Drosophila melanogaster: one gene and its partners. The protein of the gene in region 2 interacts with the protein of the main gene of each other region in a pairwise test. Each region holds a gene or a part of one and is shown on either strand. Other genes may lie near its edges.

Region 1 (7,460 bases), 9.3 Mb from region 2:
TGTGACTCACAATTCCCAGATTCCCATCACGCTGCACAAGGAGAAGGACTACGACCAGGAGGGGCGCGAGATCCTCAAGTGCGGCTTCAAGATCGGCGGCGGAATCGACCAGGACTACAAGAAAAGCCCTCAGGGATACACGGATTATGTGAGAAACTTGGGAAACACTAGAACCTAATTCCGGGCATAAAAGAGAGCTTCAATCTTAAAGCTAATAATTATAGCTCTCCTTGAAAGTCGGGGAATTTAGTTTTAGTTCGGTATCTTAAGAGCAGTTTCAATGTTACAATGTTACGTTTTCCCCTTTGAAAATAGGGCATCTATGTGACCGAGGTGCACGAGGGCAGTCCCGCCGCCCGAGCAGGTCTGCGGATCCACGACAAGATCCTGCAGTGCAACGGCTACGACTTCACCATGGTCACCCACAAAAAGGCCGTGAGCTACATCCGGAAAAACCCGATACTCAACATGCTGGTGGCCCGCAAGGGCGTGACCTCCACATAAGTGGTGCTCGGAGCAGGGTCTCCACAGACTACAGCAGTATTTAAGCGGCATTTAAACTATCCCCTCCACCGCCCCTCTGGGCTACGGATCTCTTTGCCTCCTGCAACCTATGCGAATACTTAGAACTACCATATTATACATATTAATTCATTACGTATGCATATCGCACACACATGTAGCCAGACGTAAATGTAGCACCTAGTAATGCTTCTTGTTGAATTCGATTTCTTTGCCTCTCCATCACTTGTTGAACGAATCGCCAAGCTCCTAAGTGTAAAACAGATTGCCAAATACCGATACAAACAAACACTCCCAGAAACAACAGGCTCGAATATAAACAATTTTGTACTTTTATACGTGCAGACCATTCCAAAACCAAACAGAAGCAGCAGCCGAACGCAGAGTTGTTGAAAGAAACATACATTCATAGTACATACTTGTGATAAATGACTTTAACTGTGCAGATATGTGCGAAGAAGGCGCATCACTTAAGTTTAAAATTGAGTTTTTAATGTTATATTGCATTTGAATAAATGTTTGCTAAATAAATGTGCGAGTTAGACGTCTTCTTGTAACTTTGGTCAGCTTAATGTGATTATGCCATTTTTGATTAAGATCTGACAAATGGTTGATGCAGTTGTGTGTTTATTTTACCTAATGCCAAGTGTAATCTCCCAGTGCCACCTTGTCGGTGACCTTAATTACGTGATTGCGCCAATTGGCACGCGTCAATGATGCCAGCGGTCACCAAACGCGTAAATGACGGTCACAAAATTACATGACAACAGCGAAAAGCCTTTTTAATTACAAAGTACTTTGGATTACATACGCACACTTGCACACATCGAAGTGAGCGAATACTACACGAAATTTGGAAAGAAATATACACAACTAGAGGCAAATAGAAATTGCTACCTGAGCCATTATCAGGCGTAGTAACTCAGGAACTTGCGGAGCGGCAGGAACGTGGCGATATACAGCTCTACTTGTTGGCATACCCGTTTGGGTTCTGGCTCTGCCAGCGCCACGTGTCCTCGCACATCTTGTCGATGCCACGCTCGGCCTTCCAGCCCAGCTTCTTATCCGCCAACGTGGCGTCCGCATAGCAAGTGGCCACATCTCCGGACCGTCGGTCCACCAGAGTGTAGTTGACCTTCTTGCCGGAGGCCTTCTCAAACGCCTTCACCATGTCCAGCACCGAGTAGCCCACGCCGGTGCCCAAATTGTAGGCGAAAAAGCCCGTCTCCGCGATGTTGCGCAGCTTGTCCAACGCCTTTACGTGTCCCTCGGCCAGGTCCACGATGTGGATGTAATCGCGCACGCCGGTGCCGTCGTGCGTGGGAAAGTCGCTGCCGTAGACACTCAGGCTGGGACGTCGACCCACGGCCACCTGTGCGATGTAGGGCATCAGGTTGTTGGGCTCGCCGTTCGGATCCTCGCCAATCCGACCACTGATGTGGGCACCCACCGGGTTGAAGTACCGCAGCGAAACCACTGCCCAACGCTGAAAGAGCGAATTCTTTAGTACAGAACTTATGGACATCAAGAAATGACATCCTCCTACCTTGTCAGACTTGCACAGATCCTTGAGAATCTCCTCGGTGAAATATTTAGTCTTGCCGTAGGGCGATGTACAGTTGCCCGTGGGATGCTCCTCGGTCACGGGCAGGAACTTTGGCTCACCGTATACGGTGGCGCTGGAGCTGTACACGAACTTGAAGACATTGTTGTCGGCCATCGCCTCCAGCAGGACATTGGTGCCGGTCATGTTGTTGTGGTAGTACTGCAAAGGTATGCGGCAGGACTCACCCACGGCCTTCAGGGCGGCAAAGTGGGCCACCATGTCGATTTTGTGCTGAAAGGGATGTAAATATATGTACCTATTAGTTTGGGAAATCCAAATCTGTAATAACCAGCTCTTCAGTAAGCACAAGGATATTGCCTCTTATAAACGTAAAGTGCAGAATTTAATAGCAATTAAATGAAAGTATCACATTGATTTCAAGGTGATTTATTGACAAACAATTATGTGTTCTTTAAATAGCTGTTGATAGTGCTGATTAGGTAAAAAATTCCACCACAACAAATACTGCTCAATCTATTCAGTAATCAGTGCGCGTAAGCACAAAGCTGTGTGCATTTATGGTTGAATAAAAATATGAAAAAGTATCAGCTTAAGATATTTCATGGCTATTTGGGCAACAACGTGCATTTTTATAATGTTCATTACATGTAAATAAACGCTTTGTTTTTTATAAACGACGGTGGTTAACAAAAAAAACCCCTTTGATCGAACATCTCAAGAATGCGTGATAACCTGCTCGAATTAGCGAATTCTCTTGGTTATCAATGGATGTAAACACTGCAATCTGGGCTCCCGACCACCCAGATTGTAGTGTACGTGCCCGGGAGCTGTTGTGGATGTGGATGCCAGCGCACCAACTCGAATGCGACCTCGCCAAGTGGGTCTTTCATTCAGGGTCGATCAGCACGGCGGTTCGTCGGAAGTGCCCCGCCACTTGAGCAAACAACAAAACAAGCGCGAACGAGAAAAAAGCTGATAGCGCGCATGCCAGATAAGCTTGATTGAATGGTATCCAGTTGGCACATTTGCCCCAGAACCTCCGAACTGCTGACGTGCCAGCTATGTAATGCTACGTGTGCTCACCTCCTGGAAGACGGAGCGCACCTGCTCCCTGTCCGTGATGTCCACTCTATAGAAGTTGACCTTCTTGCCGGTGATTTCCTGCACCCGGCTGAGGGCCTCCGGCAGTTTGGCCCCGCTGCTGTAGGCGTTGCACAGGTTGTCCACGCAGATGACGTTGTAGCCCGCATTGAGCATCTCCAGAACCGTGTGGGAGCCAATGTAGCCGGCTCCTCCGGTGACCAGGACCGTGGGTGGGGCCATCCTAAGTGGCGAAAGGGGAAAACACACGAAATTAGGCCACACGAGTGCCCAGTTCTTATTGACGTCACCAAAATCGTTCGGCAGGCGTGCGAAATAGCCGTCTGCTTGGCGAAAAACGGGTAACTCACCTGTTTACAGGTGATTATGGTAGAGAATCCCCGCTCAGTGAATCAGATTGAGTTTAGCTAGACGCAAGAGACGTGCCCTTGAAACGATTCCGCCTCGGATTCCGATGCCTAAAAACAACGCCTCTGATCTCCGACGAGATTGCAGATGATGGTGTAGATGAAGATGCCAAAGATCGCTGACCGTTGAGTGCTATCGTGTGCTAACCCGTTTCTTGCACTCTTCCTCATTCATCTGTGTTGTCGTACGTCTGTTTTGATCTGCGGTCGCTGGCCAACTGAACTGGTGGCTCTCCACGGAGCCTATTTAACTTGTTCTCCGTTCTCCGAACGCGCACTTCTTATCAGTTTCGGTGGTTTGGTGGGCTCGGAGCTCTCCTGTCACTTTAATTCAAGTGCTAGCAGCAGGCTGACTTGGTCGACGGACGGCCGGGGTCACCTCGAAGTGCATCCTTATCGCCGCTGACCTTTGGCTCCCGATTCCATGCCCATTAATGCAATTTCCAGGTGCTCTTCACTTCGCTCTCCGAATAAAAGTAAACAAAGTGGTAGCGTTGCCACGCGACATGGCTCGTTCGACGCTGCCATATTCGCCGATTTTTCAGCTACCTGGCACAGTGGGATTCGTCTCGATAAATTTCTTGGCTGTCTATCGATATGAACAACTTAAAACAAGAAGTGCGCCCATATCGGTGTTTAAATGTGAAAACATTCTGGAGACGCGAATAGGGGTGGTAAAAAAATAGTTTTCATTATAAAGCGTATAAAATCACAAATCGTAATTAATTAAACATATGATAAGAGAATAACGCCAAATTCATAATGCAATGTAATTTTGTAACGCATTCTATCCCCAAGATAATAATCTTATATGATCTGGCATCACTGCCATGTGCTTCTGTAAAATTTACATGTAGATAAGTTGACATTTTACTTGACTGATAAACGGAGCAGATTCAAAATTAATTTTAAACTCGAAAAGCAAACGTTTGATAACAACAAACTTCAGTACAATGCGTACAACTACATCGTCATAAATAACTAGAACCGCAGTTCGGACAGCTTTTTGGTGACCCAAATTCGGTTCAAATCTTTAATGATAAGCGGAAGTGCATGTGCTCAATACGCAATGAAAAAGATCTCACAATGTTTACAACTTAATTGAGAATGTATTTGCGCAGCGACGAGTCTCTCAATGAAATGCGCCTGCTTTCGGTTCTGAATGAATGGAATGCATGAATGGGTCGAAAGCTTCGGAGCTTTAACCTAGATTGGCATTTGACCGGCTTTATCTTATGGTTTTTGGAGTGTCGATAATCGTTATTTGTTTGAATAGTTCTATCTCAGTCAATAAATCGTTTTTCTGATTATGGTTTCCGAATTCCATTTCAATTTATCGCTAAAAAAAATTGCGGCATAAGAGTCCCAAAATTAGAACAAACCGTAAAATACTGCTTCGGCATAATAATCTACATAATCATCTGGAAACGAATCGATTCTCGAATGCGGGAAAGCTCACTCGATAAGGAAGACGCAGTACATACATATACCGCAAGACCATGCTTACCGCACACCGCATGTACTACATACATACGTACATCTACATATATTTTGAGATTCTCGGGCGGCACACATATGTACATACTGACAACCGGAAATGAGTTAGTTGAACTTCCGGCATTGCTCGCCTCTGAATGGCGCTGGCCTGCAATATTTTTTTATGTGAGCGACAATAATTTGCACAGTCAGAGTCGCAGCCACAGAAACTGAACTGAAACAGAATTGGAAAGAGAAAGACAGAACGGACAAGTCTCCAAGTGGAAGTGGTCGATCCTAAAGCTACGTATTTGTACATAATGTGCTGCGGTCTAGTCTACATACATAAATATATATATATATATATGTATAGAAGCGAGCTCCCAATCCAATCCCGCCTGCACATATGGGGGAATTATCAGTTCGGTCCGAGAGTTGGATTGCTGTTATTGCTGGGGCTAAGGTTTTCGGGGGGTCTGGCCCGGCCCGTTAGCTATGTCCGTCTTCTTGTTTACTTACTGTACTTATATGTTTATTAGTATGTGATCTTTTATTTCAAACACTTTCCACTCCACGAATAGAATGCCAAACGAATAGAATTTCCTTGCTTACACTTATTGTAAATTTCGGTTATCCATCTTAATAAAACCAATTTTCCGCATTATTGTTTGTGCCCGATAATCATCTATGTATGTTCTGCGTTCCCTCAAAAGAGACCACCCCAGATAAGCACCGACTCTGGCACTTTAATTTGATCTCGGATCGGCAATGGGAAAATGAAGTAGGGAAATAGTGAAAGTGGTGCACTTTTCACATGGCCCAACGGAGACCGACTTGGAAACTGGGATCGCCCGGGCCACCATAAATGCTTATCACAAATTAAGCAATTTATACATATTTCGTGACGTTTTCTGGCAGAACCCGCATGGCCCGTCTAAAAGTTTTCAATTCCTAAATTGAAGATATGGAAAATTAAATTCAAAACGCACTTTTCTATGCGCGATCCGAAGTCGAGACTACATACATAAATTTATTACATTTATTAAATTTGTTACTTTGACTCAAAAAATTCGAAAAAATTGGACCACTCTTCTGAACTTTTCTGCCCACCTTTACTTAAGCTTATGACCTTAAGGATATTGTATTGTAACCTCATTACAAATTAAACTATATTAGAACACATAACATGAGAACCACCAATGCCACCAATATTGTATTGTTGAAATATATCTCTCTATTCATCTACTGTAATTGTAATACCCATGTTTCAATACAAAAGTACAATCTATGAAGAGTGAATCAAGTGAAGAGCCCGATTCTGAGCTTGAATTTGAGTACGAGTACGATTCTCGGTCGTTTAAGTAAGTGGAGTACACGCGCATGTGCGGCGTTACGGAAAGAGTTCCCACCAACAGGAGACACTGGGAAGCAACAACGACAACAACTAAGACAACGACTTCAACTACAACAATAACATCTACAACAGCAACAACTATCTACAGAGCAACAATGCGCACAACAACCACTACGACACGACTGGGCTGAGTTTTACGCAAGTTTCCAGTTGTCAGTGATCTCATTTCGTTGCTTTTTTTTTTTTGGCAAAACTACCACAAAGGCTTAGAGGGGTTACGGGTTGGCGGGGGGTTTGGGGGGGTTCGGGACGGGCAGGGGCTTCCACGGCCGTGGGGTGGGTATTTAGAGAGTATCTCGGCCTAGCAACAGGCAACAAATGATGAACACGTGTGCTGCCTGGCTCTGGCGGGTTAAGATATAGTCAAAAAACAGGGGCAACCACCCTGAACGGAATCGGGGATCGGGGATCGGGCATCGGGGATCGTGGATCTTTGGGCACCCTCCGGTTTCACACACTTTTACGAGCTATTGATGGCGGTGGCAATGGGCTTATGAATATGAATAGATCGCCCTACTTCCTACCTGGTTCACGGATCACGAAGGTAATGGCAACTTAATAGGACTTCTTCTCCCCGAGGATCGGATCGGATCCGTTCGGGTTCGGGTTCGCTATTTGGAACGGGGTTAATTCGAAAAAAGCGCATTCATACCATAGAAAATTTAATTAGTTGTCTGTTGGCTGCCTGCCCCCTCGGGGCATGTTTATTGTTGCGAAAATGGGAAAACTATGAGCCAGGAGTGCGCAGGGCTGCGGTGGTGGTTGCTGCAGGATCGGGAAGAAGCCAAAGGACACGAGATACATCTGCAAACGTGATCGAACACGATGCCGAAACTTCAACAAACTTCAAGTAGAGCCGTCCATCCGAATCTTATTCCCCGGCGCCTTCTGCTTCACTCAACTGGCAGGATTATCACAGGGGTTCTTTGTGCGTCGCCAAATCAGCACAACTCGATCATTAACAATGTTTGTT
Region 2 (6,447 bases):
ACACCAGTAATCAACTTATATTAGCGGTATAAATACATTATATGAAATTATGCAAAATTGTAAACGTATACCAAGCGCAAGAAGCATAACTAAGTATTTTCAGTCGAATCTCTAAATGTTGTTAGCCAATCAAATTTGATGTGACCAAAACAACATATTCAAAACCCAAATTAATTGTAATTTAATCTAAAAACCAAAGTGTCAAACACAATCCAACACAATCAACACAAGAACACGAACCATTTAAAAACCAATGAAACACTATGCAGAATGCAATCAATTCCTAGAAATCCTAACTATTCTCGAATATATATTTATTGTGAATGTTTACGCTAGGCAAAAAATAAAAAAAAAATACAAAAATATGTCAAATATATACCTCTATGTGTCATTGAACTCGCCTATATCATCATAGTTTATCATATATATATAGTTTAAACCATATCACACTGCAAAAGATACAGAAGCAAACATATATTGCCTATTTATTTTGCAAACATCGATGATAAATATATGCAATCAACTAAGAGAGAATCGTGTACCTACATACAACGTACCTAGCACCATAGAAACCAAACTTATCACAGAGCTTTACAGCAATCGCAATCAAAAAAAAAAAAAAAACAAACAAAAAAGTAATCAATATGAATAACCACGAATACGAAAGGAACGTTTATTTTTTGGCCAAGAACCTCGAGTGATCCCGCCTGCGCTTTATAGTGATGAATCCCACATAAATCTATGTATATTCTATACCCATCATTCAATTCATTCAATATATACACACTATGATCAAACGTAATAGATAGCTCCAAAAAAACACCCAAAACTACTACTAAGGTGAATATACACGAATCCAATCCAAGGTCCACCGATCCGAAATAGAACCAGAGCCAGTAATTACTGAAGCCGCTGTACCCGAAGGCAATCTCAAACTCAATCTCAGTCTCACATTTATAGTCAATTTGTATAGTTGGGCAGCTATATGCGTAAAAGTGTGGTAATTGGTAATGGTAAACTCTTGAAACTTTATACATATAGTGAAGACTCACCAGTGTCATAGATGTATTCATTACGTAAACGGCAATTAAAGCGATTATTATCATTATTGTTGTGCTATGTTTAGCGGAGTAGAAGTGAAACCCGAAAAAAAATATGAATTTATATATGTATACAAAACGCAGCAGCAGCAGCAGGACGAACTCTATCTAGGACACATTAAAAACCACTCTACTTTATATACACATACTCGAATGATATGAATAAAAGTATGAATTACACGAACGGGAACGGGACAATCAAAATTCAAGCGACACTAAAACTAATTCTATATCAACTATCAACTAACAAACAATTGCAATTTTAAGTTACGTTGTTGTCGTTCGTTGTGTTTGTTCGATTCGTTGGATCTGCGTTTGGTTAATGCCAGCTAATTTGATCCTGAAACTCCAGCATATCCTTGCCATGCACCTGAAATTGCTTTGCATTTTGTTCGGTCCGAATTTGTTGTTTATTTATTTCACCTTAGACAAGCATATCGATATGGTTTACTAGCGTTTAATCGTACGTATATATAATTAGATTTACTTAATTTTAATTAATGTTTACGCGACAAGACAGAAACCTAAACACAAGAAACAAAAAAAAAAATTTAAAAATGAAAAAATTAAAAACAAAATCTAAATCAAAGAAAAAGGGGAAAACCAAAAGCTCAAACTGGACTGAACATTTAAGAGTTATATTATGTACATTATTGAATTGCATTTGATTGTGTGAAGATCGTTTTAGTGCTAGTAACTGCGCCTAAAACAAAAGGGTATTATATTTGTATTCGAATTTGTATGTAATTCTGATCGTATGTACGTTATGTTATCGTAAGTGTACCATCCTAGATCCTCTAATGAATTGAATTGAAATGAAGCCAACTCTGTCTCTTGTGATTCTATTGTGATGCTATGGGAGTCAAGCAGCACTCAACTGTTTTTATGCCTCTTAAAGTTTAAAACAAAGCTAATCGTAGCAAAACCTAAAACTAAACTACCTATCTCTACACTAGTCTATGCAATGCTAATTGGCAGCCCCAACAATTGAAAACAATCATGCACAATAAATGTTATGCAATTGAGAGAATCCAAAGGCCAAAGACCCACAACTTTTTCTTACACTACTCGAAGTAATTGTGTACAACTAAAGGAATTCTAGATTTTAAATGTGCTAAAACTGTTTATAGTCAAGTACTTAATTAAGAGTGTAATTATCAAATATTAATACGTACAAAGGTTGGGGCATTTGGCATAGTAATACTAATAATGTATAAACGTGGGATCCGATGATTTGATTGATGATAATGGAGCGGTGCAAATGCGTGTGACAATGTACGTATGTAACAAACAATTGAATTTAAATGTTTAATAAATGTGTGGAAATGAATAAATGCTCTGTGTGCTAAATTCCTCAATTACTCAATAACAGCCTCTACGTTAGCTTCTCGTCCAGGAATAGTGGATCCAAACTGCACTTTTGCCGCTGTTCCATGTAATCCAAAAACTGGTGGTCAAATAAACGCTGCCCCATGCTGCGTGCCACATCGTCGGATTCGTCGGTGTTTGCCTTCTCTATGAGCAGCTGTTGGCATTAGGATTTCCTTTTTTTTTAACTATTTTGGAAAGTTGATGCAGCCTTCTGCTCACCTCAATTTCCTTGGACAAAAATTCTTTGGTCGCATCGCTCATCTTCTTTTGCGGCTGGCCCATCAAAGCGTTTTCCAGAAACTTGTAGGCCTCACTGAAAGTACCACAATGCTAAATACAAATGTAGTTTATCAAAACCATTCCTACTTCAAGTCAATGCCGTTCAGTTCCGTTGGCGATGGCTTTGTCTCATTTTGGATTATGGAGTTCACAACGACGGCTGCTTCGAATTCGCAGAGTTCAGCGAGTTGCGAACTTTTCATGAGCTCCAGCCACTGGTTAATGTTGTTTAAGCTAACGGAGTCGCAGTTTTTCACCATTTCCTCGCCCTTGCCAATCATGTCGGCCACATACTCTAGAAAAGGGATTGGGGGACAATGTACTTTTATTGCATTATGCATGTTTTAAGAAAACTCACGGAGAATGCCATTCGAATTATTTTGATTTTGCTGCTTGGCTGCTTCGAGCAGGATTTGCTGTGAGTAGCCCAGTCTGTTTAGTTGCCTTTGCAGCTTAACTTTCACCTCTCTCGGAATCCTTGCAGGCTTTTCTGCGCCTTTTTGCGCGGAGTTTTTCGGTTCCGGCGTAAATTGTTGCTCCTCCTCCATTTCTTTTGTTTATGTTTACGGTTTGTTAGGCTGACCCCATATGGTATTTGGTATTTAGTATTAAATTGAATCATTTGATGCGGCAATGAAGGAATGGTGGAATAAGTGGAACATGGAGACGGTTCATGTCATGGATTTATCCCGGACGCGTTCTCTGGTTAAAATGGCGCACCCACAAGCAGCCACACCAATCCCAAAGTTTCATTTATTAGTTTAGTGGCGAGTTTGGCGGCGCGAAACGCTCGTTGGTCCTTTTGTTTCGAAAGAAATCCTATTCGAAGATCCCCGATCCTTGCTAGGATCATCTAGTGCAATATATAGACTAGTTAATTTACTTTTGGAAAAATAAGGACACCAGCAGGGCCGCCGATTTGTGCCCCTTTCTTGAAAGTCGCAAAACAAAAACAACGACGACAACAACAAAGCGGAGACAAAGAATCGACAAGTAGCGATAAACGAAATCATTCCCGGGAAAACCTTGGAGACGGGTGATTCACTGCCAATACCACTGCCAATTGGAGACTGATCACGGCAGCCATCCTTGGCGCGCCCAATAAGCGGAGTCACCGGAACGCGTGGAAGCCATATCCGGAATGCAGCCGCCGGAGCTCGAGATTGGAATGCCGAAGAGGCATCGCGAGCATATACGCAAGAATCTGAATATACTGGTTGAATGGACGAACTACGAGCGTCTGGCCATGGAGTGCGTGCAACAGGGCATCCTAACCGTTCAGATGCTAAGAAATACGCAGGATCTCAATGGCAAGCCATTCAACATGGACGAGAAGGATGTGCGTGTGGAGCAGCATCGTAGGCTCCTATTGAAGATCACCCAGCGTGGTCCCACCGCCTATAACCTGCTGATCAATGCACTGCGCAATATCAATTGTCTGGATGCGGCCGTTCTATTGGAATCCGTCGATGAGTCCGATTCAAGGCCACCCTTTATCTCGCTAAACGAACGGAGAACCAGCCGGAAGTCGGCCGATATTGTGGACACACCCTCACCCGAAGCCTCCGAAGGACCCTGCGTTAGCAAGGTAATGAAAATAAAATCATACGAAAGCTTTGATGGTGAAATTGCAGCTCAGGTCATTGACCCTGATTTCTACAAAAAACCGGTTTATGGCACAATTTATTTGCATTTTTTTTTTTAGGTTTGTTAATTGAGTTATTCCTATTGGAATGAGATTAGAAAAGGTATCTTTAAGAATTGTAAATGGACTCAATGATGAATACTACTTTGGTACATGTGCACAGTATTATTTGCTTCTCTTTCAGAAGTTAGTTCGTGTATGAGATTCTTGTTTTCCATTTTTTTTGGAAGCATGAATCACATCCATTCTACTTACCTATCCCAATTATTCTTTTAGTAGGATTTGTTTTTAACCAGAATCTTATCGCAATATTGCTGGCAGCTGTGTTTATATAGCACGAATGTTGATTACTTCTTTGTCTGCCACATTAACCGTGCAATGAAAATATAATATATATATTGAAAATCTTATCTTTATTGTAATTTGTTCTTTCTTTCTCTCTCCTACCAAAGCTCCGGAATGAGCCGCTGGGAGCACTCACCCCTTATGTGGGTGTCGTTGACGGTCCCGAGGTAAAAAAATCGAAAAAGATACATGGTGGGGATAGTGCCATATTGGGCACATATAAGATGCAATCACGTTTCAACCGAGGCGTTTTGCTAATGGTTAACATAATGGACTATCCGGATCAAAACCGTCGACGGATCGGAGCCGAAAAGGACAGCAAGTCGTTGATACACTTGTTTCAAGAACTGAATTTTACGATTTTCCCCTATGGGAACGTGAATCAGGATCAGTTCTTTAAACTTCTGACAATGGTGACCTCCTCGTCGTATGTGCAGAATACCGAGTGTTTCGTAATGGTACTGATGACACACGGCAACAGTGTGGAGGGAAAAGAGAAGGTGGAGTTTTGCGATGGATCTGTGGTCGATATGCAGAAGATCAAGGACCATTTCCAGACGGCCAAATGTCCTTATTTGGTGAACAAGCCGAAGGTGCTTATGTTTCCCTTTTGCCGCGGCGATGAATATGATTTGGGCCATCCAAAGAATCAAGGCAATCTCATGGAGCCAGTGTATACGGCGCAAGAGGAGAAGTGGCCTGACACCCAGACGGAGGGCATACCCAGCCCGAGCACCAATGTGCCAAGTCTTGCCGACACTCTGGTCTGCTATGCTAATACGCCGGGCTATGTTACCCACCGCGATCTCGACACGGGCAGCTGGTACATCCAGAAGTTTTGCCAAGTGATGGCCGATCATGCCCACGACACAGACCTTGAGGATATCCTAAAGAAGACGAGCGAAGCCGTGGGTAATAAGCGCACCAAGAAGGGTTCCATGCAGACAGGTGCCTATGATAATCTTGGCTTTAATAAGAAACTCTACTTCAATCCCGGGTTTTTCAACGAATAGTTGCCGCCACTGGACATTTTATCATTCCGGATGCATTTTTAACCGCATTTATGTTCTTATCGTCGCATTTAGTATGTCTTTTAGATTATGTGTTCTGTGCTCGCGTGCTATAAAATGTTTATATTGTAACAAATACTCATTCAAGTATTCTTCTAATACGTATTGCATACCTCATTTAAAGGTACGAAATTATGTAATTTATGTGATAACTGCCAGAAATCTACAAATATTATAATACAGAGTTCCAGTATATACACAGCCAGATTTTTGAAATCGAACATTTAGGCAAAATGTAAAGCAATTTTCCAGTCTGATTTTTGAGTGTGTACACTTACAAAATAAACGATGATATTTCACAACAAACCGCAGTTTGTATATAATTAAAATCTATTTACATTTCTAAAATTTCATTGGGACACTAATTATTATATAATATAATCTTAGGATCATACATTTTAACCTAATCATCCTGCTCATCCTCCTCCGCCAAGTGGGACAGTTGTAGTTTTCCCGCTGCACGGCTCTGTTCCGATTTGGTTTTGCATTTCTTTGGCTTATGCGGCTTTTGGCCAATTACATACTCAGGCATCACCAGCTTGGAACCTCTTAACTGCGGCTTATCCAGCTCCACATCATCCACCTCCTGCTGTTTGAGGCTCTTGAGCTTGCGGCTGAGTTTGCTGGTCCTCTTGAA
Region 3 (8,638 bases), on a different chromosome or scaffold from region 2:
GTTGACCTTGTGCAGCGCCTGCTGGCGAAGAGATGTGTGTGGTTCTTTGGCGCTAACGACTATTACCGTACAATGCAGGGAAATATTGGTAACGAGGGCTTCGAGGCAGTGGGTACGCCCGCCGAAAAGGAACCCCTCACTTTGACCTCGGTGCTCAGCTACGACGAGATCAAGCTGTCCGCCCTGCTCTACGTGTCCTGCCACTCGGAGTTCATTAACAATGGCAGTAGGGTCAATGGGGGTGAGGTGCTGCAGAATAAGGACACTATCGAACGGGAGGGCGTTGTGATTGGACTAATTGGAGCTCGTTTCGAGCGTCCCGATGTGATGGAGTACCAGGATATCATGATTACTAAAACCCAAAATACTGAGGCCAATGGCTACGGTTTCGATTTGGAACAGATATCCAGCGAGACGGTCACACCTGCATCAGATTTGCGCAGAATCTGGCGCGAGTTCTACGAGGAGCCCAGGGACTTCATTTACGCCGACACTCCGTATGATACTACGCGTTTCGAAGAGGTTTCTCAGGGCATCTTCGATCACCAGGTAATGCGCAAGCGATATGCCATCAGTTTCGACACCCTGCTCTTGGAGGCACAGGACAGAGCATTTAAGGCTGGTAAGCCCGCCTATATCCATGTGGTCGGCATCGGACTGGGCGTTTGGAAGGCAGCTAGACAGCAGGAGCGCACCTTCCTTGAATCTTTTGAGGGACGATTGCGGGCACTTGGAGAACGACTAAGCCACATCGGAGTGGTACACTTCTCATGGTTTCATTTGGCATGTGTGGGCAGCTTGCATGACGGAGCCATCATTCCCGTGGACAAACATCCCCAGGGTGGCATTCGCATTCGCAATTCGGTCCGAAATCCCGGAGACAAACTAACGGAGGACATGTTGCCCGTGGTGACATACGCCTGGGATGGAAATGCCCTGCCTGGCAACGAATTTTGGGCGGTATGCAAGAAGTGACTCTACTAAGGTTTACAATTTGTAATGCTTATTTCCCTACAGAATATGCTAATCAGCACTGGGGATCCAGCAGCAGCCTGTTCCACTTTAATCTCTGAACTCCAAAATCCCCACATTAATGTGCACTATATGAACGGAGCCAATCTGCACATTGCATCAGTGGAACACGGACTACTCCATGTAGGCGACTACGCTAGGCGACTGATTGTGTAAACACAATGTATCTAAGCACTATGTAATCCTTAAAATATATTACAATAAAGAGATCAGCTTTTTTGCTGATACATATGTACATATGTACATATGTACATATGAACATATGAACTTATGGAATCATGGAAAGCCAGCTGTGCGAACAAACCACCATATTCTTCTAAAGAATCAATGCCCGCATGCCAACAATTCCATTGAATGAGAAATTGATTGTGTGTGTTAACCATTACTGAGTTCGTTTATTGAAATTGAATAGAATTATTAGCTGTCAAATGACAGAAATGTGATATTATTGTAATGTACTGCATATAGATAGCAACAAGTAACACAAGATCCCATTTCGTTTTCGGCCATGGGTTAAATAATCCAATTCCCAGTACCCCATCTTATATCTTAAAATCCTGAATCTTAGTGTGTTTGTATTTTGGTGTGGTTGGTGTGTTTGATTTCTTTTTTTTTTTTTTTGCTTTTTTTTTTGGCATTTTCATTATTACAAATGAATCGTATTTAAAACACTTCTGTTCTGTATACTTATACTTCTGAAACAGCGTCGTATATCGAAAACAGTGATATAACATTCACAACAACATTATGCTCAAATATAATATAATATAATATTATTCTTTATCAACAATAGCATTTTATCTGTAACGGTGCACACGCCCCCGGCGAGCAGTGCGGCATTATATAGCCGCATCTCGCTCGAATTCCCACTGTTCTACCGACTGCACTACGTATGTACACTTGCCTCTCGCTCTTTCTCTCTCTCTCTCTCTATATATATATATAGACCATATATATTTATATATATATATAATATATATACGATATAACTAGATATAGTATATTTTCGTTACATTTTTTTTTTTTTTGTAGGTAATTAGTGCCGAGAAACAGTACAATAAAATCGAAAAATCAAGCACAAACATGCTCCAAATATGATTTAGTTAAAGGTATATATGCAATAGGTAGGTATCGTTAACGCTTTTAGATTTTTTCTAGGCTTGTATTTCTGGGTAATTCATAGGTATGTATGTACGTTTGTATATAATGATGGCAAACCGCTTGAGGATCCGAGAACATAAATCATTTCACATCTGTGCAATCGAACTTTTGTTACTCAAACTTCAGACTTACAACTAATTTCCTGTATAACAACAAATCGAAAACTTTGTTAACCACTTCAGTTTCCACTTTCACTTTCAGCAAGAAATTACTTATACTTATACTTATCTTGCGCTGTACTTTGCTAATATTTCAATATTGATATTTTTGAAAAACATATTTCGATTTAAATACAACAATCTCTTGTTGAAAGTGAATACATAGTGAATTCTCTTGAATGAACACAAAGAGTTTGTTTGAAACATGGCTAAGTTATAGTTCTAGATTCGCTGCGCAAATCAAAACAACTATACCTACGTATATCTTAAACATAATGTAATACGAAAAAAAAAAACATGGAAGAACAGAACGTGCTTTAAAGCTTCTTATCAACAATATTTGTTTGTGATCTAATATTCCAAGACTCTAAACAAAATATGATAATGATCGCGGCATGGGGGTGGTACAAAAATTCGTTCGATCGTTATTTTCATGATTTGTTTTTTTTCTTTTTGGGCGCTCACTTTTTGGAGGGGGGGGTTGGTTAGGAATAATACCAATAACAGATACATATAACATACAAAAGCAGCTGTGTTGTGCCGTGGCTCGTTAATTAAACTCAATTGAGAACAGCTTTTTGTCAAAGCGGTTAGGCCAACAACTTGGCTTGAGTCACCCAAGTTCGACTGCATATATGTACATGCATATACATAGCCATATACATAACCATATACACATATCGATACACATATGTAATATATGCTGCTTTTCTTATATAACATATAACAGAGCGGCGATAACAAGGAATCACTCGTCATGTCCGTTTATTGTACTGCGTGTGTTGCGTTGCGTGTACGTTGCACGTCATTCTTTGGTGGATGGGCGTATATGTTTGTTGAAGGCGCCAGGGCTTGTCCATCCGCCGCCTCCATATTTGTTTATTCCCGTAACCAGCAACCCAATCGGTCCACCCATATGTTTTTCATTTCTATTTTTTTTTTTTTTTTTTTTGTCTATCCACTCCTATTTCGCAGGCAGATTTTGTTTACTCATCAAAATCGCTGATCAGCAGGCCACGCTTGCCGAATCCCAGCGACGAGACGGCGGCCAGATTGGGTGTCGTATCGATTCCCTCGAATAGATCACTGGTCGCGGAACTGTTCAGCGAATTTAGGGTAACATTAAACGTCGATCTTCCGCCGGCCGTGTGGAAGCGTTCCTGGAGCTGCTGCTGACGCTTCAGGCGATCAAGTTCCTCGCGCAGCGCCTGGTTGCTGGCCCTTAGGCTATCCGTCTCCCTTAGACAGTCGCGCAGCCTGTTTATTGGTGGGGATAGACAAAGTTGAGTAATTGGTTTGTTTATGTTTGGTGATCGGTGAATCGGTGGATCAGGTGTTTGATTGGCTTTGTATGATTTTGTTGGGTTTTGTTTGGGTGGAAACCGCATTCGATCAGTGTGAGAGAGTGTTGTGTTCAAGACTTGAGTGACACAGGGACATTCGAGAGTCCAGCTCATATTGCACGAGATAGTGGCGAAAAAGAACCGCTCCAAAATGGGGATTTTGTTTTGCAAAAAGATAACACCAGCCCTATATCAGCACTTTAAGTACGCATTTCTACGGAAAAAGTGGGAAAGATCAAGTGTCCGCCCTTTGGGTAACTTTATTCCTAACCGTATGCGATCGATACATGATGTAAGCTCAATTGAGCGAATGGAGTTGATTAAGATCTATAAGCAAACTCATTTTTTAAGACCATTAACAAGTCAAAAAAGTTATATAGCTGTATATATAACTGTAGTACAGCAACTTATAGCGGACAATATTTGTGGATTTCTGATTCAGTGGTTTCCCCCCTACAAACCCGTCTCCACTCACGTGTCAATCTCGCCCTGCATGCTCTTGATGTACTCGCATGCCTTGATCAGGATCTGCGATTTGGAGTCATTGGGCGGCGCTCGTCCGCTGGAACTGCTGGCATTGCCTTTGGAATGGCTACTTCCGTTGGTACTCGTACTTCCGCTGGTGCTGGGACTCGTGCTGGCCTCGCTGAAACTGGAGCTGGAGCTCAGACTGGGCAGCATCTCCTTGAGCTTGAAGATCCAGCTGTTGATCTTGTCGCGGCGCCGGCGTTCGACCTCGTTGTGCGTGGCACGACGTTTATCATCGCGTTTCTTGTACGCCTCCAGTTTGCTGGATGGTGTTTGGCCAGCTGATTCTGGCTGGGATCGGGCTTGGGCGTGAGCATGGCCATGGCCATGACCATTGCCATGGGAGCCATACAGGACACTGGTGGTGGTGGTGGTGCTAGTGGTGCTGGTGGTGGTGTTGATGTTACCTGGAATGGGAGGATTCACGGTCTGGGCGGTTATTACCGCGGACTGTGTGCTGGAGGAAGTTGTAACAGATGGAAGGAGCGGCTTTTCGCTTAGCGTATCTAGTTCCAGCTTGATGGCCGCCTTCGTCGGCGGCTCACCCATTAAGCTGCCGGTTTCCTTGACCAAATATATCTCACAGCCAGTGGGCAGCTGCAGATTGTTGGGCAGCTGCAAATTGCTAGGCAGCAGCGAATGGATATCTAGATCACATCCCGGTTCCTGTTTAATCGTATAGTACTCCTGCGAATCGTCCGAGTTCTCGTCTCCGCAAATGGTGAGAAATATCTGAGCACCTTGGCTATTCATCAGCGGATTTCCCGTGTCGCTGGTGAGAATCAGACTTTGCTGACCATTGGCAAAGGAACTGTGGACCAGGGCCTCTGACAAATCAGCGGTGTGGTGATTGGTAATGGTCATGAGGCCAGGTCCAGCTGTTGGATTCGCATTGCTGATATTTACGGAGGACGGGGATGTGGAAGTGTTGGTATTGCTGGTGGAGGAGCCGAATTCCATATTCAGACGTGGCCGCTTGTGAACATTCATTGTTGCATCGATGATCCGCCGTTAGCAGTACACCAATTCCAATAGCCCAATCCCAGCCAGAATCGTATCCGTGTCGCCGGGAATCACGTAACTCCGGATCTATTCGGGATCTCCTCCACTATTTGCTCCGATCTCTAGTTGGAGGATACACGGATATGGATGGTAGATATCCCCCGATCTGGCCGCTCTGCGGTATTATTAACTACCGACTGCCTCGAGGATTTGATTTGAAATCGAGCGCTGCGGCGGATTTATGGTCGTTCGTGTTCGCACGGCCATTTAACAATACGATTTGTTGATTTTTTTTGTAACAAAATTATTTTCGTTTGGCTTAGTGTGCCCGCCGGCGGGCAGCAAATATATGCCGACAAATACACACAGTACAGTTGTTGCGAAAAATACCAGAATTTAGGCAATGTATTTTTGCGGCATTTCCAAATAATTGTTTGTATTCAAAAAAAAAAATAAACTCTTCATACAAGTAGAAAATCTGTAACTTTAAAATGAAGAAAAGCATCTTCATTTAATTCAATAAACGATTCTCAACTAAGCAAATGTGTTTTTGGAGGTTTTTCGAAAATTAAAATATACCAAATGCATATACGTAATATCTAGTGGACAAACAATACCACACTGTTGGCCAAAATGTCGTTGACTTCGCAATTTGTTGCGAATTTGAAACGCTTTCGCCTGGTGACCTTCGATGTAACGGACACGCTGCTTCGCCTGGAGGATCCCCTTCGCCAGTACCATCAGACGGCAGAGGAGTTCGGGGTCACCGGAGTGGATCGCCGCCGATTGGAACAATGCTTTCGCCAGCAATTCAAGGCGATGAGCAGCGAACATCCAAACTTTGGCCGTTACTCGCCGGGATTGGATTGGCAGCGTTGGTGGCTTCAGCTGGTGGCTCGAACCTTTAGCTGCGTGGACCACGGTCTGGCGCCCGAGAAGCTGGAGAAGATCGGCCAGCGGCTAATTTCCGTTTTTCGGACCAGCGCCTGTTGGAGTCACGTGAATGGTGCCCAGGAGTTGGTGCAGAACGTCCGAAATGCCGGCAAATGTGTGGGCATCATCTCCAATTTCGATTCGTCACTGCCACAAGTCCTGGACGCCATGGGCTTTGCCGGCAAATTCGATTTCATTCTGACTTCCTACGAAGCCGGTGTTATGAAGCCCGAACGCGGTATCTTCGAAATTCCGCTGCAGAGATTGCAAATTCCAGCGGAGCAGGCCCTTCACATTGGCAACAAGTTGGATATGGACTATGAAGGTGCCCGGAATTGCGGCTGGAGCGGTTTGCTTGTGAGCAACGCTGACAATCCCCATTCTTTTGCCAGTCTTTCCAGTCTGTTGGAGGCCTTAAAAACCCAACCAATCCGATGGTAATCCACCAAAGAAACTCCTCTCGGGAACCTGCAGTTCTTCGATTGGATAATGGCTGTTGTTATTTTTGTAGATTTCCTTTTTTTTTTGCATTAAGATAACATAACTGAATGTAAAACTAGTGGTAAATATAAATACGCGATCTTAATGATATTTTTTTGGGAAATTCGAGGTAGGAGGTTTTGGACAAATATAAAACATAATATAACAAATATAAAAATAAGCTGTCTGAAAACAGAAATAAACAAAAGAGTTCTTAGTTGAATACAATTCAAAGCTTATTTCTTATCGAATGTGAAAAAGTCGTTGTTTAAATATTCATTAAAAGATATTATTAATTAAAGTGACATAACGATGCTGTATTATGCATCGAAAGAACCTCCTCCTTTCGAACATTTCCGTGTATAAAGCCTGATAAAACTATACCTGAAAACTTATCCTATACACACACACACACACACTCGCACACGTCTCTTGCACACATACCTAAATACTAATTAAGAACAGATTAATCGTACAAGCTATTTTGTGACCAAAAATATTTGGTTGCTTTGTGAAGGGAATGTGCCAGTCCATCTGTTTGTAATGGCAATCATTACTATGTAGCCTTTGTCGCCTTCGCAGGCATTTGGGCCTTGGCCGCCTTAAGCTGCTCCAAATTGAACTGTTTCCGGATTTCGGTGGACACCTGGCGAATGACCGCATCCGTATTGGCCTTTAGATCCCGTTCCAGCACATCAATGTCCACATCCTTGCTCTCCAATCGCATTTGCATGTCCGAATAGAAGTCACAAAACAACACCGGTTCATCTGAACCATTCGGCGTCCTCGTGCTGCAGTATTGACCCCTTCGATGGAGATCATCGTTGTTGGTTTTGGCGTCCAGGCCAAGCAGACGTCTCGCTCCCAATGGCAGCTGCTGTTGGATCAATCTCTCGTGATTCTGAGAGATGTGATGCTTCAGCTTCTTGAACTCCTTCACCTCGTTCTGCATGTACTTCACATAGCTATACATCTTGGAGGTTTTCTTCGTTAGGTTCTCTAGGCAACTTATAAAGTTTCGCACCTGCTGTGTTCTCGGCAATGTGCTGGGATCCAGTCGCTCGGCTTCGTCGAAGTGCTGCAGTGATCGATTAAAGTCGTGTTTCATGGCCAGTGCAGAGGCCAGGACCACATGATTCTCGGCCACATTAGGAGCATGTTCCACCGCAGCGGTCAATATCAGATCGGCATCGGCCAGTCGACCCATTCGAAAGAGTATGGTACCCAGACTCAGCAGGGGTATATCCTTAAAGATCGGCGGAGCCAGCAAGGCAGCCAATCTGGCACAGGGCAGGGCTTCCCGGGCATTTCCTCGCATGCGCCAATAGTACGAGCTTAGGGTGTGGAACTTCCAGGAGGCCGGATGATGCTGCAATCCGTCCACCGCAAATCGCCGGGTCAATTCCACGGTGGCCATGCCCACATTGGTGTCATGCTCGCGCTCCAGAAAGGCAGCGGCCAGGACCTCGGGCCGAAAACTCTCCAGATGATCATAGGTGGCTGGACCCACGCTTAATCGATGGTAATCGCTGCATATCGGCTCCATTCCCATCGAGGATGCGCTCTTCTGTATGTGCAATTGCCTCTGGTCCGGAAGATTAATCCTTTTCAACTGCTCTGGCGTAATTTTCAGGTAAGACATTCGCTTCTCCAGCATGTAGTAGTCCATGGCGCACTTGGCCTGCTCGGCCAGATCCTCACCGAAACGCATCGAAAATCGTAGGTGCTCCACAATCTGTTCCCGCTTGCGCAGCAGATCCAGATAGGAGCGCTCCACATACTCACTGTACCTGATCTGCTTGAGAAATGCCGCCAGATTGTGGGGTTCACGCATGTGGAATGGAGAGTCCAGTTTGGGCACGATCTGCTCCTCGCGAAGAACCCAATGATTGCAGGCCTGGATCAGGTGAAAAAGGCCAAGCAGCACGGCGAACGCCAGCGGGCACAGGCGCATCTTGTAGGATTGCAAAACCAGGAGGACGACAAGGATCCGGTAATCCA
Region 4 (7,362 bases), on a different chromosome or scaffold from region 2:
ACCACGCCGAGCATCTGCGTCGTTTGCACCTTGGCCAACTTAGGGGGTCACTTTACGAGGAGCATTAAATTTTATTTTATTTTTTCGGTATTTCGGTTTCGGTGCTCCTGCGTGCAGGACCATAAAAATCCGTTTGGCAAGACCTTTGGCCCACATTGCTTTTTGGCATAATTGACCGCCAATTGGTGTGGCAGAAGTGGCACGGACAGCGCCAACGTGTCGGGGTCAAAAGGTGGATCTATAAAAATCGGTGTTAAGCTGATTGGACACTTTGATGGCCTCTGATTAGCAGTGGAGCCGTACTGGGCAGCCAATTATGTACATGAAAACTTAGCAACTAGGCAGAAATACCAAGCCATTAAATAGAATTTTCATAAATAAAATAGGTGGCACAAAAAATGGAATTTAGATTCCGAGTAACATGTGTTTAAATCAAAAATCACTAAAAATAGAAAAGGGTTACCGAATGAATTATAAATCTTTCTGGGAATTAAAAAACAAACAAAATGTGAAAAAACTACCGTGCGACACGCATTCTAAATCGGCCCTTTTCTTTGAGTGGGCGTGGGAAACTCCCTGGCCAGCAATTAGGCAGTGAAAAACTCGTGTGACAAACACTTAATTTGCATAAAAATTACTATTTATATGGGCCGAATGATTTAGCACGAAACAAATGCCCAGGGCGATAAATATTAATTCGTGGTGCAAACAATAAGCACACAATGCCGCAACAGTAAAGATTCGAGCGTCGTATAAATTGAATTAAATGCGACAGCTGAAAAAATACACAGAACAAATAGTTTCAGGACAGGACCCACCACCCACGGCGCAGGCGGCAATTAAGGTCCTGCCGAAACGAACTGAAATTGCAGCGAGTGGAGAAGGAGGAGGAGTAGCTGCTGACCACAGGGATTGTTTGGCTGCTTTTGGTGCCAGGCCAGGGCGTTAATTTGGCTGGCAAATGTCAAATGGCGAGCGCTCGGACACAGGGCGTCGTTAGCACCCACGCCATGTCCTGGCAAATGGCGATATGTCCGGCGGTCTCTTGCCTTGACATGAAATTTTAATACCGCCTTTAAATTTAAGTAGCCTGTGGGGTTTTTTTTTGCATTCGGCTTGGCAGCATTTCAATTGGATTCCCGCCGACCGTCTCGTTTCTCTTATTTATATTTTTATATCCTTGGGAAATGTGTGTATTCAGTTCGGTTCAGTTCGGTTCAGGAGGCCAAATGTCGCTCGATAAATTTCTGTGGGTTTTCCATTTCGCCAGTCTCGCATTTATTTATTTATTTTGAGGCCATTGCTTTGATTTTATTATGTTTGCCGTCTCCAGGTGAGCGGAAAAAAAGGAAAATCTCGGCCGGACTTTGATTTCCACTGCTCGTTGGACCCTGGCTCAAATGTAATATTTATATTATATATTTTGAATAGAACTCGTAATACCTATTTGCATATAGAGGGCATATTTCAATCAGGCCAAGACCATGCGACATGTGCAAATATTTAATTCTTAACTTTTGTTTGTGTGCCTAATGATGACCCGAATGACCCAACTGGCTAGCAATCAAGAGTTAGCTGTTATTGTTGGTGAGTAAATTGTGTCAAGCGGCGTTAGGAATGCATTGCGTACTTTTACTTTGTCCAGCTTGTTTGCCAAGCAATTTGGGCGCAAGATGAAATAGTTAGTTACTCGTACTCATACGCCTCCCTTCGTATTTGTTTTCATTTTATTTTGGCATAATTTTAGCAACAAAGGCAAGGGCACACGCATACAGACACATTCGCAGAGAGCAAGTGCAAATAGTGTAAATGTCCTTGAAAGCGCCAACAACTTTGGCCCTGGCGAAGGCAGAGAAAAAATCAGAAAAGGAGCGAGGAAACGCATGTACAGGTGGGGATTTGAGGGGCTTAACTAATGGGTGGAGATGCATTCGCTTATTTCTCCGGCATAGCCTACTTTTTTGGGCAGCCCTTAATCGAATATTGACCGATTTTTGGGCTAAATCACCAAACCCCATTGCCTTCGTGAGCAACTCAATATGCATGACAGCGAAAATTGAATAAATTAATTCATTGAAAATTATAGAGATTTGACGCTGATTGGCGAGCGAGGAAATGAAAAGGACAGTGGCAGGGGCACAGGCACAGGCGTAAAGACAGGCAACAAGCCAGCACACACGTTTTCTGAATGCACAATTATTAAATAGGCTGACAAAAGGACAACAAGGGGGCGGGTCGGGTCGTGGAGTAGCAAATCCTCTAGAGCGGGCGCCATCGTCGTTTCTACTCGTTGTGGCCTCATCACATGTGCACATTTCGCAGAGAGAAGCATAGAGCGTCCTTTCGCACGGCTCTCTCGTATCGATCCGCAAAACGAGCAAAAGTCAACTGGAAACTGGAAAGCAACCACCAAAAGGAACACATCCTGCCTCCGAGCCAGCCCCCTTCCGAATGCTCCACCTCTACCCATCGGCATTGGTGACAGTATTTCGCACACAGCAAGATGGTCAAAAAACCAGAGTGTACGAGTGGTGAAAGCGGACGAGGGCGCCGCCAGCTCGAATGACTCAACATTTTGTGGTTATGCAGGAGCCACGTGCAAATTATTTTCATTGGAACGTACAGAAAACAAAAAGAGTAAAATAAAGACGAGATACAAAGAACAACACGAAGGTGGTCCAACTCGTCAATGTCAATTGATAGTGAAAGGACTTGCGGGGCAGAAGGAGAACGGCGGCCCGTTGAAAAGGCGTGACACATCACGGACTTGGGTTTCAAAGACAACAACGACGACGACGACCACGACGACACCAGCTGTTGGCAGCTGGTTGGAAAAACGTGCCCCGGATTGACATCCTGGCATCCAGCGCACACTCGCACAATTAAATATTAATGAGCTGAATTAAGTGAAAAACAACGTTAGTTGACTTTGGCTGATCTTCCGGATTAGCCAGCAACTTGTGGCATTAACGGGCCATCACAGCGGTCTTAACTTGTCCAAAATATCAGCCGAATAATTGGAATTTACTTTCATTTATTTCGAGGAAATGAAGGCTGAAACGGCAGTAACACTCTTGTGGGATAAAGCAAACTCAACATAACTAGGGTGTGGAATGCCTGCTAGAGATTGATGAAGTACCCAGAAGAAGCGCGAAGGACGAGGTCAAATGATACGGCGAGGTCGAAAAGAAATAGGGCAGTCCTATCCACTCAGTTTGAGGGAAGTAAAAGAAAAGAAACCAGTCGGAAGTTAGTAAGCATGGAGTTGCTCTTTTCCGTTTGCTGACAGTTCAAGGAATTTCCTTTGGTCAACAAAATTAGGGCAAATAAATTCGCTTGGAGAATTACACTACTGACAGTCTACCATACTAAGTAATACATATATGCCAAGCTGAGAGACTCTTTTGAAGACTGATTTATGCTATATTCTATAACGATTCAAATATTTCAACAATTAAAAAGAAATACAGTCTTCACAATGCGATTTGCCATTTCAAGAATAATCAAACGAAATCCATTTAAACCACAAATTGGCCTGGCATTTTCAAATCGAAATTGCTAGCCAGAAATGTTCAGGAAAGTCAGTCGACTAGCTTCGCAAGGAAGCGGAGCCATATAGGATATATATGGGAGTGAAATTATCGGGCATTTGGATTCCAGTTTAAGCAATTATGTTCAGTCACGTGAGAGCGTGCGGAATGCAACGTAAAATGCAGGATAAGCGGAGTGTGTCAAAACAATGATGAATGTACCGTAAAGGAGCGATTGCTGGAGGGTAGGAACTCCACGGAGCGAAATGTTAAAAGGTACAAATAGCAAGGTCACATTGGCACGCCATGTCAGGTCGACTGAAGTCTGGATTTCGGAGTCACAGTCACGGAAGACTAGAAAGATGGGCCGAAGGATTACCCAGCGCGCATTGTTCGATTCACACTTACCTTTTGCCAGCTTCCTCGCCCTCGAGTCCTTCGCCACCGGCTGCGGCAGCTGCCTCCGGGTCCACGGCGGAGGAGGCCGTGGCCTCCACGGATGTGGATGCTGCTGGAGCGGCTGCGGGCGCATCTCCTGTGGGCGCGGGCACATCCTCGTCGCCAGCGCCTCCTTTAACGGCGCCCACCAGCGAGGTGAATTGATTTGTTAGGCCCGAAAACATGTTGGCTCCTGCTGTTTCTCTCAAGGATTGGTGGTGTGTCCTGACCAGGAAGACGTGCGCACGTTCAACGCTCTCTAGGCTCTCTTGTTCTCGCGGTTCTCACGGTTTTCCACTGCTCTCCCGCTCCTGGCTCTCCAACTTTTACTACACTGGGCAGAGGCAGATAGAATGTCCTGTAATGGGTTTTCCTTTCTTTCAGTGTTTCGTTCGCACCACAGAAGTTTCACTTTCAACGCTCGGCGTTATGTAAATTCTCGCATTTAACTTGAAATTTGAATTTTTCACGCTGCAATTGCTTTGTCCAGATGGCCGAGATGGAAGGTAAAAGAATGGTTTTTATTGCTACTTGGCGAGGCGGTGGGGAAAATCAATAAAACGGACTGGGAATTGCGTGGCTATTGGGCACAATTACACGATAAATACTCTGCGATTCGATCGATTTTCCACATGGACACACGCCACGCTCGAGTTTCTTTTCTTTTTGGGTTTATAGCTATTCGCTATTTGCACAACTAAAGTAATTTGAGTCGCAGCCAATTACCACTTGAGCTTTTCTCTGCCAACTGGATTTTGCTTTTCTTATTTTTTTTCTCTTTGGTTTTCCGTTCGCTGCCAGGAGACTTTTGGATTTTCGGCTGCCCACTTCGAAGGTCCTCTGAAAACTGACGGAGCAGCGGAATGTCGATGTCTCAAATACCGAGCTGGAGTGTCGTCTTCGCTCTCTTGGACTCGGGGATTGGGGATTCTCAGATTCGGATTCTCGTATGCGTACGTTCGCTTTCTCCCTGGAAAAGTGGAGTCCACCCCCTCCTCCGCGTTGCTGGGGCGATGGTATTGCGATTTTCGTGGGTGGGATATTTGTGCGCTGGAATGCGCATGTGTGCTTTGGCGTCGTTTTGCTGCTGCTGGCGCAATTAGACAAACAATTGACACGTCTATGGAAACAACAACTGCGCACCAGTAATGATTATTTTCGGTTTGTTCTCGGCCAGTGCTGCCCATCGAACAGCTGACTGCTGTCGGTCGATAGCTCTACCGATATGTTCGCGCATCTCTGGCTTCTGCAACAGCTGATTTTAAAATTTCCAAGTTCCTATTGCGAAAGTTTGGAAGCCCATTGCAGCATTAGTTTATTTACATCAGCATAATTTTAGCTATAGCTAGATCAAGACATGGAACTTTGTTGATACTTAAAATATTTTTATTTTCAAACCCCAAGAAGCGTGATCTTAAAATCGATCCGATTCTAGTTACCTGGCCTGAGAGTAAAATATTTATACCTAACCGCCTGAGCTAATCCGTGTTAGTTTACAAGAATTCCATTACATTTGTGTTCCTGGAAAGTCGAGCTCTTCTCAGAAAGTGTTTACACTTGTCTTCATGTTCGTAAATCTCTATTTACAGCAACAGACTTTCATTTTTTGTACTTAACACGTAGTTTTTAAATCAATTATCAGCTAATTAGTTCGATTGGGACAACAAGGATACTCAGCGTCGCTGCCGCGATCTGCTCTGAGACTCCTCCGCCGTATCTTGCGCTGCTTCCGTATTTGACGACCTCGGCTGCTCATGGGCCTTAATCTCATGGTCCAGCCGCTCTTTCGCCCGGAAAACCTTTGACTGGATATAGAAGGAGCCGCCTTTGGAGCGTTCGTTGACTTGAAACAGATGCTCGTAGTTCTTGGTGATAGCGTCCACGTTTTTGGGGTCATCTATATTCAGGATCTGCTTGGCTTCCTCCAGCGTCATGCCTGCATTGATAAGTAGGTGTAAATAGTGAAATAGATAGCATGACTGTGTCCAAGACTCACCTGTGCGCAGGTTGGACTCGGCGCTCTTGTCGCCCTGCTTGCCACCACCCGCCCGTCGTGCTGCTTCCTGAGATGCGGCGATCTCCTGGCGCAGCGCCTTGGTAAAGGCTCTTCCCACTGCCTGGGCGCCCAACACGATGATCTGGGCGATATACTTGGCCATGACGGTTTCTTGTATTCCTTGGATTCGTACGTCAAAACACCGGCATTCTATGTGTACAGCTTAATTTTGGGTCTCAGAAAACGTGTCGCTTTAATTACGCAACACCGTAGTGACCCTCCGTGTTCCAATTGTACTATTTAAAAGGCGTCCTTCTAAAAAAATGCATACGTAACTTTTAACACTTAATTTCGAATGTGATTTATAATTGTATTGAGCTACCAGGTAAATTTTAGCTTTTACTCCAGATATTTACTAACGAGCAGGCGGCGAAAAGCAGGTGAAACAGCTGATTGGAGATGGTACACGGCTTTCATAATTAGCTATCGATATATATAATAGCTATATCATCGAGAATCGAAATATTTTTAAAACCAATTATTTAAATATTTTTACCACGACTACTTTGTCATCGATAGCATTTGTCAGTTATCGTTTTTAAAAATTCGAAATTCCCTAGTTAAGCCAATGATTCAGGAACCGAACTGGAAAAAGGACTACGACCGTCTGGTCCGCGAGCATTTGAATGATCAGAATCAGACGAAGTCGCTACAACGACAAATACGGCATTTTCGCTCAAAGCGCGTACGACTCCAGAATGAAATCGAGGCGGAGAGCAGGAGCATGGACGTTTGGGTAAAGATGATGGAGAACTTGCACCGCGGAGTGGAGCGCTTTCAGAAGCACCACCACCTGCTCACGCCCAAAAAGCGCAAGCAGCTGCGCCGCATAATGCGAAAGCTGCCCTTGAGCAGTTTGGATGAGCAGGTGCGACTGATGGAGGTGTCGGAGCGGTTGGTGCCCAAGCCGTGCAAGGAGACTCCTGAACCACCGAAGGGCAACGAACGCCAGTTCATCAAGTACTCAGTTCCGCATCAGAAAAAGAACTGTGATCCTAATAATCAATCCCCCGTGGACAAACGGCTGGCCAGGATATATGCCAATCTGAAGGCTCTGCTAAAAATCCACGAGCAGACCTCGTCCGTCATCGCTGATATACATTCCCTGATCGCCACTATTAACTATTTGGAGCGGGGGCACTGCACCAAGATAAAGATCACTCCAGCGGAGGGCTCCAGGCCGTCAATAAAGGCTACCATCGAATTGGATCGGCTGCGCAAGACCAAGCACGGCAACCACTACACGCGGGAAATTATGGACGTACGTCCTCCGTACATCCTTGACCATGTGCCGCAATTGAAACCAAACATTTTCGACGCTCTGGGGAGAAAGGCGAA

Evidence for each region.
Region 1: the proteins of CG6685 (region 2) and Gale interact in a two-hybrid assay, tested with the Drosophila melanogaster proteins (one large-scale study listed by BioGRID).
Region 3: the proteins of CG6685 (region 2) and Usf interact in a two-hybrid assay, tested with the Drosophila melanogaster proteins (one large-scale study listed by BioGRID).
Region 4: the proteins of CG6685 (region 2) and Sap47 interact in a two-hybrid assay, tested with the Drosophila melanogaster proteins (one large-scale study listed by BioGRID).

What each region holds. Positions count from the first base shown.
Region 1 is NT_037436.4:645,132-652,591, reverse strand, and holds Gale (UDP-galactose 4'-epimerase), read right to left. Parts: upstream 4,038-7,460; 5' UTR 3,541-4,037; intron 3,414-3,540; 5' UTR 3,413-3,413; coding exon 3,173-3,412; intron 2,360-3,172; coding exon 2,069-2,359; intron 2,009-2,068; coding exon 1,487-2,008; 3' UTR 1,281-1,486; downstream 1-1,280. Other genes in the region: CG3402 (uncharacterized protein), read left to right, coding at 20-148, 316-504. UniProt on the Drosophila melanogaster protein: Catalyzes two distinct but analogous reactions: the reversible epimerization of UDP-glucose to UDP-galactose and the reversible epimerization of UDP-N-acetylglucosamine to UDP-N-acetylgalactosamine.
Region 2 is NT_037436.4:9,964,997-9,971,443, forward strand, and holds CG6685 (uncharacterized protein), read right to left. Parts: upstream 3,322-6,447; 5' UTR 3,299-3,321; coding exon 3,109-3,298; intron 3,046-3,108; coding exon 2,838-3,045; intron 2,785-2,837; coding exon 2,691-2,784; intron 2,626-2,690; coding exon 2,476-2,625; 3' UTR 1,607-2,475; downstream 1-1,606. Other genes in the region: Dronc (death regulator Nedd2-like caspase), read left to right, coding at 3,892-4,338, 4,848-5,753; CG6674 (uncharacterized protein), read right to left, coding at 6,214-6,447.
Region 3 is NC_004354.4:4,543,217-4,551,854, forward strand, and holds Usf (Usf), read right to left. Parts: upstream 5,579-8,638; 5' UTR 5,213-5,578; coding exon 4,170-5,212; intron 3,609-4,169; coding exon 3,338-3,608; 3' UTR 1,401-3,337; downstream 1-1,400. Other genes in the region: CG3568 (uncharacterized protein), read left to right, coding at 1-960, 1,018-1,188; CG15912 (uncharacterized protein), read left to right, coding at 5,858-6,598; CG11436 (uncharacterized protein), read right to left, coding at 7,194-8,591.
Region 4 is NT_033777.3:15,932,917-15,940,278, reverse strand, and holds the start of Sap47 (Synapse-associated protein 47kD), read right to left. Parts: upstream 5,161-7,362; 5' UTR 4,695-5,160; exon of another isoform or gene 4,449-4,694; 5' UTR 4,154-4,448; coding exon 3,939-4,153; intron 1-3,938. Other genes in the region: blp (black pearl), read right to left, coding at 5,642-5,904, 5,965-6,127; CG5478 (uncharacterized protein), read left to right, coding at 6,593-7,362.